2 linked regions of the Struthio camelus genome follow. The protein of the gene in region 1 purifies or fractionates together with the protein of each later gene. This does not show direct contact. Links are inferred from orthologs where the notes say so. Each region holds a gene or a part of one and is shown in the gene's direction. Other genes may lie near its edges. The genes, in order: SKI and RMND5A.

The links.
Region 2: the proteins of SKI (region 1) and RMND5A purify together in Homo sapiens (affinity purification with mass spectrometry; 3 studies listed by BioGRID and IntAct, counting the BioPlex papers as one, with this or other methods). This does not show direct contact. The link is inferred for Struthio camelus from reciprocal best matches to the Homo sapiens genes SKI and RMND5A.

The regions. Positions count from the first base shown.
Region 1 is NC_090962.1:2,804,412-2,811,905, reverse strand, and holds the start of SKI (ski oncogene), read left to right. Parts: upstream 1-4,311; 5' UTR 4,312-4,820; exon of another isoform or gene 4,821-5,223; 5' UTR 5,224-5,233; coding exon 5,234-6,145; intron 6,146-7,494. UniProt on the Homo sapiens protein: May play a role in terminal differentiation of skeletal muscle cells but not in the determination of cells to the myogenic lineage. Functions as a repressor of TGF-beta signaling.
Region 2 is NC_090945.1:80,788,537-80,796,460, forward strand, and holds the start of RMND5A (E3 ubiquitin-protein transferase RMND5A), read left to right. Parts: upstream 1-4,883; 5' UTR 4,884-5,023; coding exon 5,024-5,165; exon of another isoform or gene 5,166-5,836; intron 5,837-7,924.

The DNA.
Region 1 (7,494 bases):
AACATTTTAGATATTTTAAAATTTGCTTATTTCAGTACATTTCTAAGATAAATATATTAAACATTTGATTTCTTTAAAAATAAATGTTTCACCATTTGTTTTAGCCAAAAAGCTAAGAATTTGACACAAATTTGTGAAGTAATATTCTGTGAGCTGTAACTGTATATTGATGGAAAAAATGAAATATTTAATTGAAAAAGATTGCCAGACTCTTAGGTAAGTCTTTTTCAACAAGAGTTTGAAATTTTATTCTGCAGGTTCTGGATAGTTTGTCATTTCCCAGTGTCACTATAAGGGGAATAGTCAATGAAAGTGGTAAACTTTAGCAGAGGTTCCTTAAAGAAAGGAGGGAAGGAAATGTCATAGTATATTCTACTTGTGTAGAAATCATTTTGCTTTAATACCTAAATGTCACGTTTAGAAGTGAATATGAACAATGCAAACATGAAGAAATTAGATGCTCACTGCTATAATGAATTACCATCTAAATTAAGCTGCAACAGCGATTTTGATGTGTGTCACATTTGCACATTTCATTTTTTACTTGTCTTTCTTCACATTCTTCACAATAAGCCTTTCCCCAATGTTTTGTCAAATAGCTTCAATAGGAAGCACAGTTCTTGATAATCCCCAGGTCTTCCTGTCTAAGCAGACATCTTAAACCAGAGCAGGGCTAGGGTGAATCATTTTAGGATATACTTTTTGTATGTATATATGAAAATATGCATAAACATGTCACCCTCCACTTTGGGAGGATGTAAAAGGTGGGACATGATAGTTGTGAGAGGCTCACAGTTCTGCAAAAGAAGGTGATGTGGGTGTTGGGGGGGAAATGAATTGTCCGTTAAATAGGGAAAATGGAGTCTGCTTTTTGTTCGGGGCCTTTGGAATCTGTGGGTGGATTGGAACTGGCAGGCCGGGAGCAAACACCCACCCACTACAGGGCTGTGTGGTTCAGAAGTTTACAAGAGTGTTTGTGTTCCAGAAGCTGTTGGCCTTGAAGCCAGTGGGGAGGGGGAGGAGAAGAGGGAGAAAATGAGAAAAACACTGTGGTGTTAGGGCCCTTCCTCTGAGATATTTTTTTCCTTCTCCTTTCTCCAGCTAGAGGGCTGTGGAACTAGAGCAAGACAAGCAGTTACTGGGGGAAAGATGAATGTAATTTTAAAATACACTGCACTGCACAATCCATCATCAAGGGAGGCAGAGACTTCAGAAACCGCTGACACCTTAATCCCAAATGAGAGCGCTCTTTGCTCCTCTTTCTCCTGCCCTATGGCTATTTGATTCTACAAAGCCTATAAGTTACAGACAAATGGAAATTTTAATGTATTGTTATTGTATGAGTTGCAAACGCCAGTCTTTTGATGCCTAGAACTATGTGGAGAAAACTGCAGGTTGAGCTGTTTGATTCTAATGCTCTGCCCATCTCTAGCACTGTTATTCCAAGAATCTAAAAATTGTTTTCTGTCACTTCATGAATTTAGGTTCAGAAGCTGCCCCTGATTCACAATCTCAATATTGCAAATATAGAAACTGAGGCACAGAGAGACTAAATAGCTTGCCCAAGGCAACAGGAAGTCTGTGGGAGAATCAATTCCAGATGTCCTGAGTTTTCTGCCGTAACCACAAGCCCATCCTTCCTGTTTTTTGGTAGTCCCCTCTGCTTCAGGAATTCCATATATGAATTCCAACCATAAACAATCCGTTGTGTGCTCCAGTGATTTACTTGCATAAAAGACACATTTGGAAGGGAAGATGGCACCTCTCTTAAAATAAGCTGCAGTTATTACTGTTATTTCTAAAGGATGAGGGAGGAGGAGTGCCAAAAAACATCTTCCAGAGCTAAGAAGCTTTACGTTACTAACCGAAATTCCTTCCAAGCATTAATTTCATCCTTTAAAAGGATCAGGAACTCCATACTCCCTGTTGAGTACGTCTGGACATTTATATCCTAGTGAGTTAAAAATGGCTGAAACTGAATTAAATCTGTCTAGGGAATTATTCTACTGCTCATTACAAGTGTATCTGAGTTACCTTCTATGAAAAACAGTTAAATTCCCATATTCCTAGTGGACTTCATCAAGTATCTAGTACTGCTCTTGTGTCATATTCAGAACTTTTCTAAGATGAGGGTGAACAGTAGGAAGAGTTTTTTTTTCTAGTAAAGCACATGTTTTGGTCTGGAAAGATGGCATGAACGGAATGTCATGGATGTGCTTCATATTATCAATAAGTGACATAAATCAGTTCAAAAAAACACTATTGAAAATGATTCTTAACTAAAGCTTTTAGATAACCCTATTACTCAGTGCAGAATACTCCTAGGCCTGCTTTCTGTTAACATGGTAACCTCTTTAGCACTAGGAATCAGTAACTAGCACAATATAGTCTTGATTGTCAGTTCCCATCTTTAGACTTTGGTATGGTGGTAATACCTAAGAATTCCACTCATGGATCATTAAATCCATTGTGCTATGCACTATATGAACACAAATCCAAAGGATACTTCATGCCAGCAGTAGATAAAGGTTCTCTAAGCATCTTCTCTCAGTACATGAAGATACAACTGATGACTTGAATCAACATGTTTGGTTCTTCCCTTCTCTGAACTCCCTATTAATACATGAAGGCTTGATACTTCCATTGGATGTGTGAGAGAGGGCTTCCCTGATGAGAAATGCTGATTCACTTGAAAGATCAAGGCTCTTTCACAACTCTTTGACACCTCTTTCCCTTACTCTGAATGTGATTTCAGAATATAAAAATTCAAATAAAATATCAGCTTGATTTTGACTAAATCTCATCCTTTTCTTGTTTTCTACTTTGCTCTTTGAAGTGGTATATGGAAATACATCTATTTGCTCTACCTCTTTTTTCCTGATCTGTTTTCTCTGAATTTATATTATAATGGTAAGCACTTTCAGAAGAGACTATCCTAATGCTCAATTTCTGCATCCCTCAGTGTAGAAAGATTCTGAACTATGAATACTGCTTCGACTGACAACTTCATTACAGATAATACTTTTAACAACAATTGTATTTCTGTGAAGCTATTCTCCAGCCTTGTCTGCACACACAGTGAATTTACAGAGATTCCAAGATCACAGAAATAACCTTTTAAATTTGTTTCTTATGTGTGTGCTTAGAGCTAGTTAAAAAATGTTCAGACTTTCAGTTATGTAGCTCATGAAAAAAGGGGAAAGTCAACTTTTTTGTTTTGTAAATTAATTTTAATAGAGACTAGAGAACATTTAATTCCTGCTCAGAATAATGAAATAATAATAAAATTCGCAGAACTGAGCAGTGGTGATATGTGCACGCATGTTGATATATTCATTTTAACTTCTCCAAACTGTTCAAGGTTGAAAAAGGGATCAGTAACAGAACAGGAAACTTTCAAGAAAAGCCTTCAGTTCTGGAAAAAAAGTGCAAAATCGCTCAGTAGAGGGTGCTCTTCTCTCTGGGTCTGCACAGAGTACAGCCAAATGGGAGGTAAAAAAAGAGGTCCTTATTAGCCATGGTCCTTAAATATTCTGTATCACATTTTGTTGAAATAAGGATATTGACTTGCTCAAATTTGTAACAAATGTATTTTTTCGAGCCTGAAGTCACGTTACCATTTCAGTGGGGGTTTTGGTAGTTCATCTATTTTCTCTGTACCCGTATTGTGGTTGTGCCTTGTATTCCTTCCTTATATCAAACATGCATGGAGTTTGCGTGTTTGCATTAGATGCGTAGAGTGTTAGGCATATGGCATTTGTGTATTTTGCTCTTTATTCCATGAATGTTTTTTAAAATATCGAATGCATGTGTATGAAGTGTTGTGTAAATTTGGTGCATGACTTGTCATGTTTTGCATCTGAGTGATTTGTGCTATCAATGTATATACTGTTCCATATCATAAGTTGTGTTTGTAAAGCTGGCATGTGTATTGTGTTTGCACGTGTGTGATTTCTGCTAATACAAAGGGGTGTATGCTCAATGTTGTAAGCAGGTTTTGCAAGTACAGGTTTTATGGGGTGCACTTGCACTTGTATGTGTGCGAGTGTGAGGCATACACTTTTTTGTGTGCTCCTTTTTTTTACTACTGTTCAGGAATAAAACTGTAAGAAGAAAAAAAGCCTTGCCCTCCCGCCCCTCCACCGCAGCGAGCTGGTCTGTGAACCCAGCACTTTATTCTCTCTCTCCCCGGCTCTGCCGCCCGGGGCCTTTCTGTGCGCCTGCTTTGCAGAAGCTCTAAGAAGAGCGAGAGGGGGGAGGCGGCCGCTGTTCCTGGAAGAGCCCAGCCTGGGGAGTTGGTCACATTCTTGGCTGTGATTCAATGACTGAGGCAGACACCAACAAACAGAAAGGGGGGGGAGGAGTGAGGGAGGCTGAGCCAGCCTGCATTAGCTCAGCTTTCAGGCACTCTCAGTCTCTGCTGGAAAGAGGAGCTGGGAGGATGAGCGCTCTGTTACCGCGGCTCCCCACAGCACGCTGAAAAGACCGAGAGAAAGAAGAAAGGAAAACCGAGAGACGAAGAGTCCTCCCAGACCAAGCTAAGGGACCACGAGAGAAAAGGGAGCCTGCCTATCTGTCCTTCTGTAGTCCCCTCGCCGTTTTGGAACTGCCAGGGATTTGGGCCTTTTAATTTTATTCTGCGTTGTTCCCCTCCACAGACGAAGCTTTCTTCCTCCTTCTGCTTTTTACTTTCCTCCCCCGCTCCTTCCTTTTGGTGGATATGGACAGAACGGAGATTATTGCAGAGAAGCAGCAGCCGCCAGAACATATTTGAGCCCCTGGTGCTCGGAGCGTGGCATAGACTTTTTGTATTTTTGTGGGTGCGTGCGTGTGTGTGTGTGTCTTGTATGTGTGTCGGAGGTGTGGGGGGCGGGATTGGTTTGCTCGGGGGCTTGGTTGAGGGGGTGAGTGTTCGGATGAAGACCTCTTTTGGCGTGACTCTTTGCTCCATCGGGGCATCTTTGGAGACTTGGAGGTTTTGAAAGTGTAACAAAGCGAGAGAAAAAGAAGAGGGAGAGAAATACGTACAAAAAGGATTTATTTGCTGTTCATTAGTGGATTGTTAAACCTGAGTGGGAAGGAGAAAAAACGAGGGTGGGTTGTTTTATTTTTATAATAATTCTTTTTTTCTTAAAAAAAAAAAAAACCAACAACTTTAAGTGGATTTTTTTTTTTACCAGGGTGGAAAATAATTGAGGGTTTTGTTGTTTGTTCTGGGAATAGAAACTAAAAAATGGAGACTGTAAGTAGAAGCAGCTTCCAGCCTCATCCAGGACTGCAGAAGACCTTGGAACAGTTTCATCTGAGCTCTATGAGCTCCCTGGGTGGCCCTGCTGCTTTCTCAGCACGATGGGCACAGGAGATGTACAAGAAGGACAATGGCAAAGACCCAGCAGAACCTGTATTGCATCTGCCCCCTATCCAGCCTCCTCCGGTGATGCCTGGCCCCTTCTTCATGCCCTCGGACAGATCCACAGAGAGGTGCGAGACCATCCTGGAAGGGGAAACCATCTCTTGCTTTGTGGTGGGCGGAGAAAAGCGGCTTTGCTTGCCCCAGATCCTGAACTCGGTGCTCAGAGACTTCTCCCTGCAGCAGATCAATTCAGTGTGTGATGAGCTACATATTTACTGCTCCAGATGCACCGCTGACCAGCTGGAGATCCTCAAAGTCATGGGCATCCTGCCCTTCTCTGCTCCCTCCTGCGGGCTCATTACCAAAACTGATGCTGAGAGGCTTTGTAATGCCCTGCTTTACGGTGGCACCTATCCTCCCCACTGCAAGAAGGAGTTTTCCAGCACAATTGAGCTGGAGCTCACAGAGAAGAGCTTCAAGGTGTATCATGAGTGCTTTGGGAAGTGTAAGGGGCTCTTAGTCCCAGAGCTTTACAATAACCCCAGTGCAGCCTGCATTCAGTGCTTGGACTGCAGGCTTATGTACCCACCTCACAAATTTGTGGTCCACTCTCACAAATCCCTGGAAAATAGGACTTGCCACTGGGGCTTTGACTCGGCAAACTGGAGGTCCTATATTCTCCTCAGCCAGGATTACACTGGGAAAGAGGAGAAAACACGGCTGGGCCAGCTCTTAGATGAAATGAAAGAAAAATTTGACTATAACAACAAATACAAGAGAAAAGCCCCCAGGGTAAGTGATGTCTTTAATTCTTATTTTAACTGAGGAAGGGAGAAAGAGAAAGGGGAATTTTCTATAATTTAGGTGACATCCATTGATATACCCATGTGTTACCAAGTACTTTTCATTTTGAAGTCACTTAGCAATCTAACCATGCTGTTAATTCTTACCACGTGTTTTTCAGTGTAGATGAGCAGAGTTTGAGATGGCACTTTTTAATGGTTGTGAATTTAGATTTTTTTTTTTCTGTTCTGAATACAGTAGTTAGAGTTTAATTGAATTACATATCTATATGTATTTGTTTATCTTAGTGTACATGGAACTTGATCTTTGAATCCCATCACATTGCCCCAGACTCTAGCAGGAAGTATGTAACATCGGGATTTAAGGGCATGAATTAGGGGTCAAGACAAGGAGGATGCAAGAGAAAAAGTAACAGATTGCTCCAAACACAAATATATACAGCTTCCTTCTCAACTGCATACCTCCAGGGGTGGAGGCAAAGGCTAAATTGTCTAAATGCATGTATTGTAATAAAATGTGACTGCTAAGAAAAATCCTGACAATAATGCAGGCTATTAATATTCAGATTAAGTACCTGGTACGTGAACAGAGATTTCTGTGCTTTCTGAGAATCTCAGTGGAGTCTGAATCTCACCACCAGACTGGCTTTTCTATATTGGATTATGTGTATGTTCAGTAAATGAATCTGTCTAGGGCCAGCTGCAGCAGCCTCTTTAAGGTATGCCATGCAGTATTCAGTCTGCCTATCCAGACAGCACGTTTATTTTAGGTGACTTCCCCCCCCCCCACTTCAGTCTGAGCTGCCTTTAGATCCCAGAATCCCTTGTCTAGTATGTCGGTGGGAGGCTGCCTTGGCATCTAGCACCAGTCCTGATCAATGGGCAGCGATGAGTGCCACAGGGCCTTGAGGATTTGCTTGCAGACACCAGGATGTCTGGCTAGCTGGCAGTGGTGCAATTGGCTGCAGGATGAGCAGTTGACTTCCCACCCCTTTTCTCCCCCCCTCCCCAAAGGGTAAAAGGCAAATAAGAAAAGTCGAATTAACTCTTGCCTACTGAGTTTTACACTGCTGATTTGTTGTATTGATTTTGCCTCATCTGTTGGAGATTTTGGAAACTTTTCATGGGTTTTTAAGTGTCTGGAGTGGAAGAGCAATGACACTAGCCCCAAGGAGAAGCAACATTCAAAGCCCGTTGAGAATGTTCAGTAAGATTCTTAATTAACTTCCCAAATATATGTTTAAACATACAAACACACACTCAGACTCATGTATAACTTTCCTTTAAAAAAAAATACCGAAGCTGATTAAATGCCTTTCACACACAATGCAATAGTTA
Region 2 (7,924 bases), on another chromosome or scaffold:
AAAATAGCACAGCTTAATTTTCAAAACACTGACAACCCCACAGAGTGTACGGGCTTAAGTAATTCCGCACCAGGGTATAAAAATCACATTTTTAAAAGATAACATTAAAATTGACCTGGAGAGAGAAAGCATTTACATAGCCAAACTCCTCAGAACTGTTAAACACATTTATAGGGTGGTATGATTTAAAGAAAAGGAAAAAAAAAAAAAGGCAAAATGTCAACAGTTCTAGAAGAGGAATAAGAACTCTATCCTTTCCCTTTGTCTTTCCGTGCCCTAACCTATCCAGCCTAAGATTTGGGCAGAGTGGGATGCAGGTTCAGCCTGCCTGGTATTGCACGTTCGTGCACAGCCGTTGCCTCTTCAAGAGGAAAATTCGGGACGCTATTTTCTTCTGCAACGGACCCAGTGCAGTTTGTTTTCTGGAAAGTGGAAGAGGAGAGAGATTGTAGAAGCAGCTGCCCACCAACCAAGCCCTTGGGGGCGTGTAAATTTTGTGCCTCATATCAGGAGCTATCTCAACCCTTATTCTCCATACCTTTTTTATGTGGTGCAGTAAAAATTAAAGGCGGAGAGGGTGGACTGCAAAACCCAGCTCTGCTGATGCTGCTTAATTAAATGCAAACTGATTTCATCAGTTCACTCTGATTTGAAGCGAGCCTCTTGTGGGAAGTGCAGCGTGAGGACAACGTACTGGAGGAACAGTCGACAGGAAGAGCTTGTGGGAGGACAGGGCTGAAGCGCTGCCTCCTCCTTCATAGTACATTAAAGCTGCATAAGCTCCCTCTTCAACGGAGTAAGTGGCCATCTCCCTAATATGAAAGCGGCCACCTCACTAGGATTAATCCTTTCCCCTTGGCCAAAACAAAACTGAGAACGGTTTTGTTCTTACTGTTCGAAGAGCCAAAGTACTTTCAATAAAAAGCACACTCAACATCACCTGTCGCTAGGACCAAAGGAAGGCTCTCAAGTATTGAAAACACACCAAGAAAACCACATTTTTCTTCTCTTCTAAAAGCTTCATGAAGACCCCTTTCTTCTGTGACACACACAAGAAGCTGCCTGATTTCTGTACTTTTTGTTTCAAGTGAGCAGCTCAAGAATAAGTGGAGTGCTGGGTGGGAGGAAGATACGGAGTTAAATGTTTGCAGAGAAACTTTGTGTGTTGAGTTAAAAAAGAAAAAAAGCATTTTGTTTTTAACACGAGAAGCTGTAGACCCTTCTCCACCCAATCACTTTGTTGTATCCCCTCCTTCCCCTTATTGCTTCAGGCTGTGTGCTGTGCTTAGTGATAGTCTGGCTTCCTCCAGCTGGAAAGCACCTAGCAACAATTAATAGTCTACACTCACAGCAAAATTATTTGCAACACCAACTGCTGGGGAGGCTGTCACCAATATGTCATTTCCTAATGCTCATGGGCTGAGTTAAATCAGTTCCTAACATTCCCCAGTGGTAAGTGATGATGAGTCCCCTGCAGATACTAAGCTAATCATCTGCCAAAACTCAAAACCCTGGAGTAACTTCAAGAAAGTAAAAAGTATGTTTCAAACCACTGTTCAAAAGCCCCCCAAACAACCAAAAGCAAAGCAGCTATGAACACAGAGGCAAAGGGGCAACAGAAAGCAATGATGAATAGGGGCACAGCCGCAAATGGAAAGCATACTGGGCACTGGTATGACCAGGAACTGGCCACTGCAGGTGAGTTAACCAAAAGCCTGGAAGAGAAAAGGATTATTGCTAGGAAAGCTGAGCAGCAGACCTGGGGCCTCTGTGCTAAAACACTGGTGCCTAGGAGACTTTCCCACAGCACTGAGGGCTCTGCTCAAACAAACCAGAAAATGTTGACATATTAACAGAGGCTTGGATTTTCTTCCTCGGACTCATATTTGAGTACAGTGAGAAAGACCTCCTAAAACAATTCTCCTCTCCCAGACTCTCTCATCCTCTTTTTTCTCCCCACCTTCGCATCCCTGACTTATTAAACTGACCCCACCTGAACTGGCCATGATGTTCTAGACGCAACCGGCATTTCTTGGTTTCTAGCTGGAACTCCGAATGTCTTTGACGTGTCAGCTGCAAACACGTTTTCAGGGATTTTAATTATCTGGAAATGCAGAGAACAGTGAATTGAAAACTCATTTGGGCTGAAGGCAAACAAGAAAGATGCTGACATTTTTAAAGACCCCAGTGTTAACTCAACCTAATTAACGATATTAAACAGCCATCAGACAGTCAGTCCGATGCTCATAGAGCAGTCTTACAAACGTGAAGAGAATGAAGTATGTAAGTCCTACCCTTAAACATAAACCTGAAGCAGGGATTTGCTTTTAAACAATCTTGGCAGCAAAAATATTTTACTATGATTTACCAGAGAACGAGACCAAATCCTGAGAAATGGGACAACCATCTTTTCTTGTCAGAGGGCCAAATTTGAAGCCTCAGCTGCCCCTTGATAAATGGCAAGGATTCCCTCTCCTCCCCCATCCTTCCTGACGGGCAGTTGCTGACTCCGCAGCCTGGAAATACAGGCAATAATCCACTTCCTAGACTCAGTCTTATACAGGGAACACTGAAAGAAGGGCTGTCATTTTGAAGTCCATAACATTGAAACTGAAAATTGTAAGTCAGTCCCTTACCAAGTTAAATCCCTTGCCAAGTTAAATACTATCATACCCTCTTCTTGCACGGTTTTAATATTGACATACAACAAGATAAATTTGAGCAAACTAACATTTAGACTATCTGAAACCAGTTTTCCTAAGAGTCAGCCTGCTCTGTAAGTGTAATTGTTAGGAGCTCACTCACATACTATCCCTTGATGTACTTTTTCTACAATATAGGTGCATTGCCACAAATTGTATACATTATATGACACCCTGCCTACTTGTCATTAACTGATATTATTCAAAACAGCCAGTAAGTGCGTGTGAGAGTCTCAAAGCAAAATGGCAGCAGCCAAATAACACTATTTTATTACATGTGGAGAAACTGTAAGGTGTTTCCTATTATCTACAAGTGGCCAAAAGGACACAGATTTAACACGTAGATGTTATTTTGCAGCATGATGGCCAAGATTTGACAGCTCAACTAAAGCACTAGCTATTTAAATGAGGCACTCCTTACATGATCTAGTAATGAATCATAGAATAATTCAGGATGGAAGGGATGCCAGGAGGTCACGCAGTCCAGCCGCCTGCTCAAAAAGCAGGGCCAGCTATGTCACCAGACCAGGTTGCTCAAAGCTTTATCTAGTCAAGCATTTTATTAGTTGTAGCTGAGAGTCACTCTTCCCCGTCCCGTGGCAAGTTCCCTTGCCTTCAAATACGCAGTAGTCAATGTCACAGAAACTGAACACGTATCAAGGCCAAACCAATATACAGGAGCAAAATGGATTAATTAAATCTTGAAATAAAGGATCATTTTTTTTGAAGCAGGTAATATTTTCTTTTTTCTAACAGTGAGAATCCATTTACTGCTCCCTGCAAAAGACATAGGTTTTGTTTAATGACAAAAAAAAAAAAAGTGAACTTGCTTGCCTATGCTAACAGAAGACAAAGGAGAATACAGTGGTGAAGAACGTAACAAATCAAACCAGCATGCTAATGACATAAAACCCAAGATGATATTTGCATGGCTTTAAACATCACATATGGTTACATAAAGAATAAGACTACAAACAAGGGCAGCAGTCTTGGTCTGAATCCAACAGAATGACAGCCACTTGTAGGCATCTACACAAATCACGTGCTCTTGCAAGAGAATACAGATTTCTCTATTTTCTTATCCTATTTCAGCAGTACTTTACACGGGCACAGACGACACAACATCACTCCAGGCTCAGACCAAGTGCTGTTTTTGCAGGTAGTTTTGTCTAGTTGAGCAGGAGGTTTTGATGTACTGCGCTACAGAAACCGTGGGGCCACGGTCTGGTTTGTGCTACACTTTCCAAACACTGAAGTTGCCACAAGTACGCCAACCAAGCGATACTCAAGCAAACAGGGGCATGCATCTCTTTCAACCGCGCTCATCAGTCGGCTGCAGGACTTTAACCCACGAGACTCAACACTCAAGAGGAAGTTTGCTGGCCAAGCTAGTGCCCTAATGACAGCCTAAATCCTCCGTTTCCGGCCCGCCAGGATTGTTAATGAAGCACTGACCCCGCTCCAAGCCTCTCGGCGGTACGTAGCAGTGCAAGGCTGGGGGCGGTGGGGAAGGGCCTTGCCCCCGGCCCCCGCGGAGCTCCGCTCCCGCCGCGACGGGCTGCTGCCCGGCGATTTTCACCTCAGCACGGGGGCTAAGTTACACCTAAGGGACCAGCCCCAGCCGGCGGCGCCCCACGGCGCAGGAGACCCCTCGGCCCCCTCCGCCACGGCCCGAGGAGCCGCCGGTGCGGCCCGGTCTGGGCCGCACATCAGGGCCCCGCGGGCCGCGCCTGTCACCATGGCAACGGCACCCGCAGGACCCCGCTCTTAGCTGCCTACCTTACTGCCTGAGTCGTAACACGGCACTTTGAGGACCCCCCTCGCCCTAGACTGTTATTCTCAGCGCCCGCCCCGCGGGCTGCCTAAGGGGGGAGCCTAGAGGCCCGCGCTGCTGAGGCCTCCGCCGGCTCGAGAGGGGCAACTCACTCCCCCCATCGCGGCGGGGGGCGAGGCCCTTCCGGGGCTGTCCGCGGCGTTGCCTGACCAACACTCACCGCCCCGCCCTTGGCGGCCCGCCGGGAGGCCCCCGGGCTGCCCGTTGCTCTGCCTGCGCCGAGCGCCGCCGAGGCCCCCGGGCTGCCCGCGGCGCTGCCTGCGCGACGGCCGCCGCCGCCGCCGTCACCGGAGAGGAGCGGGAAGTTGCGAGCGCGGCGGGAGGCGAGCGGGGCCCTTCCGCGGGCCGGGCGGTGCTGCCGGAGGGCGGCGAGGGCCGGGCAGGATCGGGGGGCAGTGGGGGGGGGAACCAGCGGCGGCGGAGTGGGGCCCGGTGCCCGGCGGCGGCGGCGGCGGAGGAGCGGGGCCCGGCGGCGGCGGCGGCCGCTATGGACCAGTGCGTGACGGTGGAGCGGGAGCTGGAGAAGGTGCTGCAGAAGTTCTCGGGCTACGGGCAGCTCTGCGAGCGCAGCCTGGAGGAGCTCATCCAGTACGCGGGCGGGCTGCGCCGCGAGATCCTGCAGAGCGAGAGTAGGTGCAGACCCCCCCCCCCCGCCTCCTCCCCGGTCCCCCCGCCGCACCGGGCCCGTCCCGTCCCCCCCGCTCCCTTCACCGGGCCGGGAAACGCCAGCGGCGAAACTTCACCGCGGGCCGGCGGCGAGCGGCCTGGTGCGGCGGCCCCGAGGGGGTCCCGGCCGCTGTGCGGGGCCTGAGCAGCCCCCCCCCCCCCCGGTGTCCCACTCTTTCTTTCTTTTATCTATTTATTTATCTTTAAGGGTGACACTTTTGGGGTGTGTGTGTGGTGGGGGGAAGTTGTAGCAGGAGCAGGGCCTTGCCTGTCCTTGCTGCTTGAGGCATCTCCTGCCCCTTCCTGCTGAGCGGCGACGGGGCCAGCACGGATGGACGGACAGACGGATGGATGGCAGCGTTGTGCTGGCTGTCCTTGTTTTCCTCGTCGTTACTTCCGCAGCCGCTCCGTTGTTTGCTTTAGTCGTGGCTAGCTTGGGGAGCGCTCAGGGCGAAGCCGCTCTGGAGCTGAGCGTAAGCGCAGCCTCCCAAGTTTTGGCCGTGCAGGTTTTTTTTTGTTTTTTTTTGGTTTTTTTTTTTTTTTTTACGGCTAGTGCTGGCGGGTGAGTGAGCTCTCTGAGGCGTGAGCTTTAAACACGGGGCCGCTTCAGCTTTGCCAAATGCCCCGGACAGAGGTAACGCAGCGTTTCTCGACGGAGCGGGAGGGAACGGGGAGGCAGCCCGAGCGGTTTACCCCAGGCTGTGTAGGAAGCGAGCCACGGCTCGGGGATTTTAAACTGGAACTCCCGGGCTCCTAAGCCCAAACCTGACAGCAAACTGTGCCGCTTCACCGGTTTCTGCGATCTGCTTTTGTTCAGTTCGGAGAAAACTGTGTTTGTCTTAGTCCTGTAGAAATACAGGTGCGAAGCTTGCTTGGAAGTGCACTTAATTCCAGGAACGTAGCAACAAATATATTAGAGCTGCTGTGTGTACCCAGCAATTTACACCAACAGTAAATGTGGAGTGCCAGTTCTGAGGCGTTTTGGGAGGGGATGAAGGAACACTTAATCTTTTTGGGGCATTATTTGATTTGACTTGATTTTACTATTTTTTCTATCCAACACAGTTTAGGTTTGTGCATTAAGGACAGTCGATAGGATGTGTGTCTTCACACACCGAGGTGCTGCCCTTGCCTGGAAGGATGTGTGGCGTGGCCCTCATGCTTGCACTGATCTTCACAGGCCTCTGTGGTGCTGCAAAGATTTGCCCACAAGAATCCTGTTGCAGATCCAGAGCTTACACTCTCCATAAAAAAATGAAAAGTGCGCAGTCCCTCCGGGGTGCTCCCTGTGTCTTCCCTGCAGACTTGGGTTAACAGTTTTGGGGACTGTTTCGTGAAGGCCCCAGACATGTTTTCGGTGCTTATGAAATCAGTGGTGATGCCATCCCAGGAGAATGCATGCCAACTGGAGCTTTGTTTTAGTCAGTACTCTACAATGAAACTAATGTGTTACGTGTACGCCCATTTAGAGACCCTATTAACTTTTGCCATCTGAGGGTAAGCTGTCTTCACGGATGGCAAAATTCTTATTTTTTCTTTAACATGTTATTTAAAACTTTCTAATAAAACCAGATATTTGCAGCTATTATATGCTATATCCTGAATATTTTAGAAAATGAGCAGAAGTGGAAGCAGCCAGGCCTCTTAATGTGAAGCTTCATAGTTCAGGGGTCAGAAGTGCTAAAATATGCTTATGTATATAATTAAAAAAAAAAAAAGAAAAACCGTACTACTGAAGAAGAAAATCATGTTGTAGGACAAGAGGTGAGAGCAAGGTTGTATGTAAAGACCTTTAAATAGGCAGTGGATATGAAAAGGAAGTGGGTGGAGAAAAAGAAACTGTTAGAAGCTGCTTCATCCTCTAAACACTGATTTTCTTTTCCCCACTCATAGTCTCTTGAAATTTCTTGAGTTGTTTCTATAACAAAGTCTAAATGCAAAATACTCCTATGTTAAAGCGACTGATTAGGAAGAGAAACTTTGTTTTTCTGCTCTCTTTCCCTAATATATTTAATCTCCCTGAGTAGTCAAGGCAATATTGTTTATTCTTCTTGGATGGTATAAACATGTGTCTGGCTGACTAAGCTTGGCTTTGAACTCTACTCTGTGCCTAGCGTCCGATTGCTAATGTATTTTCTTTTAGATTATGACTGTGATGCACAATGCAGTGAGAAGCTAATTGTTCTGTAGTATTCTGCGAACACTGAATTACTAAAAAGACTATTCACAGGCTTTCTTCTGCTGATTTATTACAAATAACTTCTGAGTGTAAAGCTGAAAGAGATATGTACAAGGGGAAAATCTTTTCTCTTAGGAATCTGATAGCTTTTCTTGTGGACATTTTCATTGTTTTGCTGTAGTTAGTTTCTGCTACAGCAAGTTTTAGGGGAGAATAATCCACTTACTTGTTTGCCAAAAATACCTATGCATTTAAGTTGCCTAGATTTGACTGGACATACGCTGGATTTTGGCTTAATGGCTTTTCAAGCAAAAAATGACTACCAAGAGAATCTATTTGGACATCTCTGTTTATTGGGCAATACAGACTAGTGGAATGAGTGTTTGGATTTTTTGTTGTGTAATCTCTCGTTATTTTGTCTTGGCAGAAGTCATAATTTCTGGCCAGACAGTTCTTTACAATCATTTATGTGATTTTTAAATGTCTGTCATAATAAAATAGTAACAAAGAGATAGTGGTTATTCTTGAAATAATTTAGGAAGC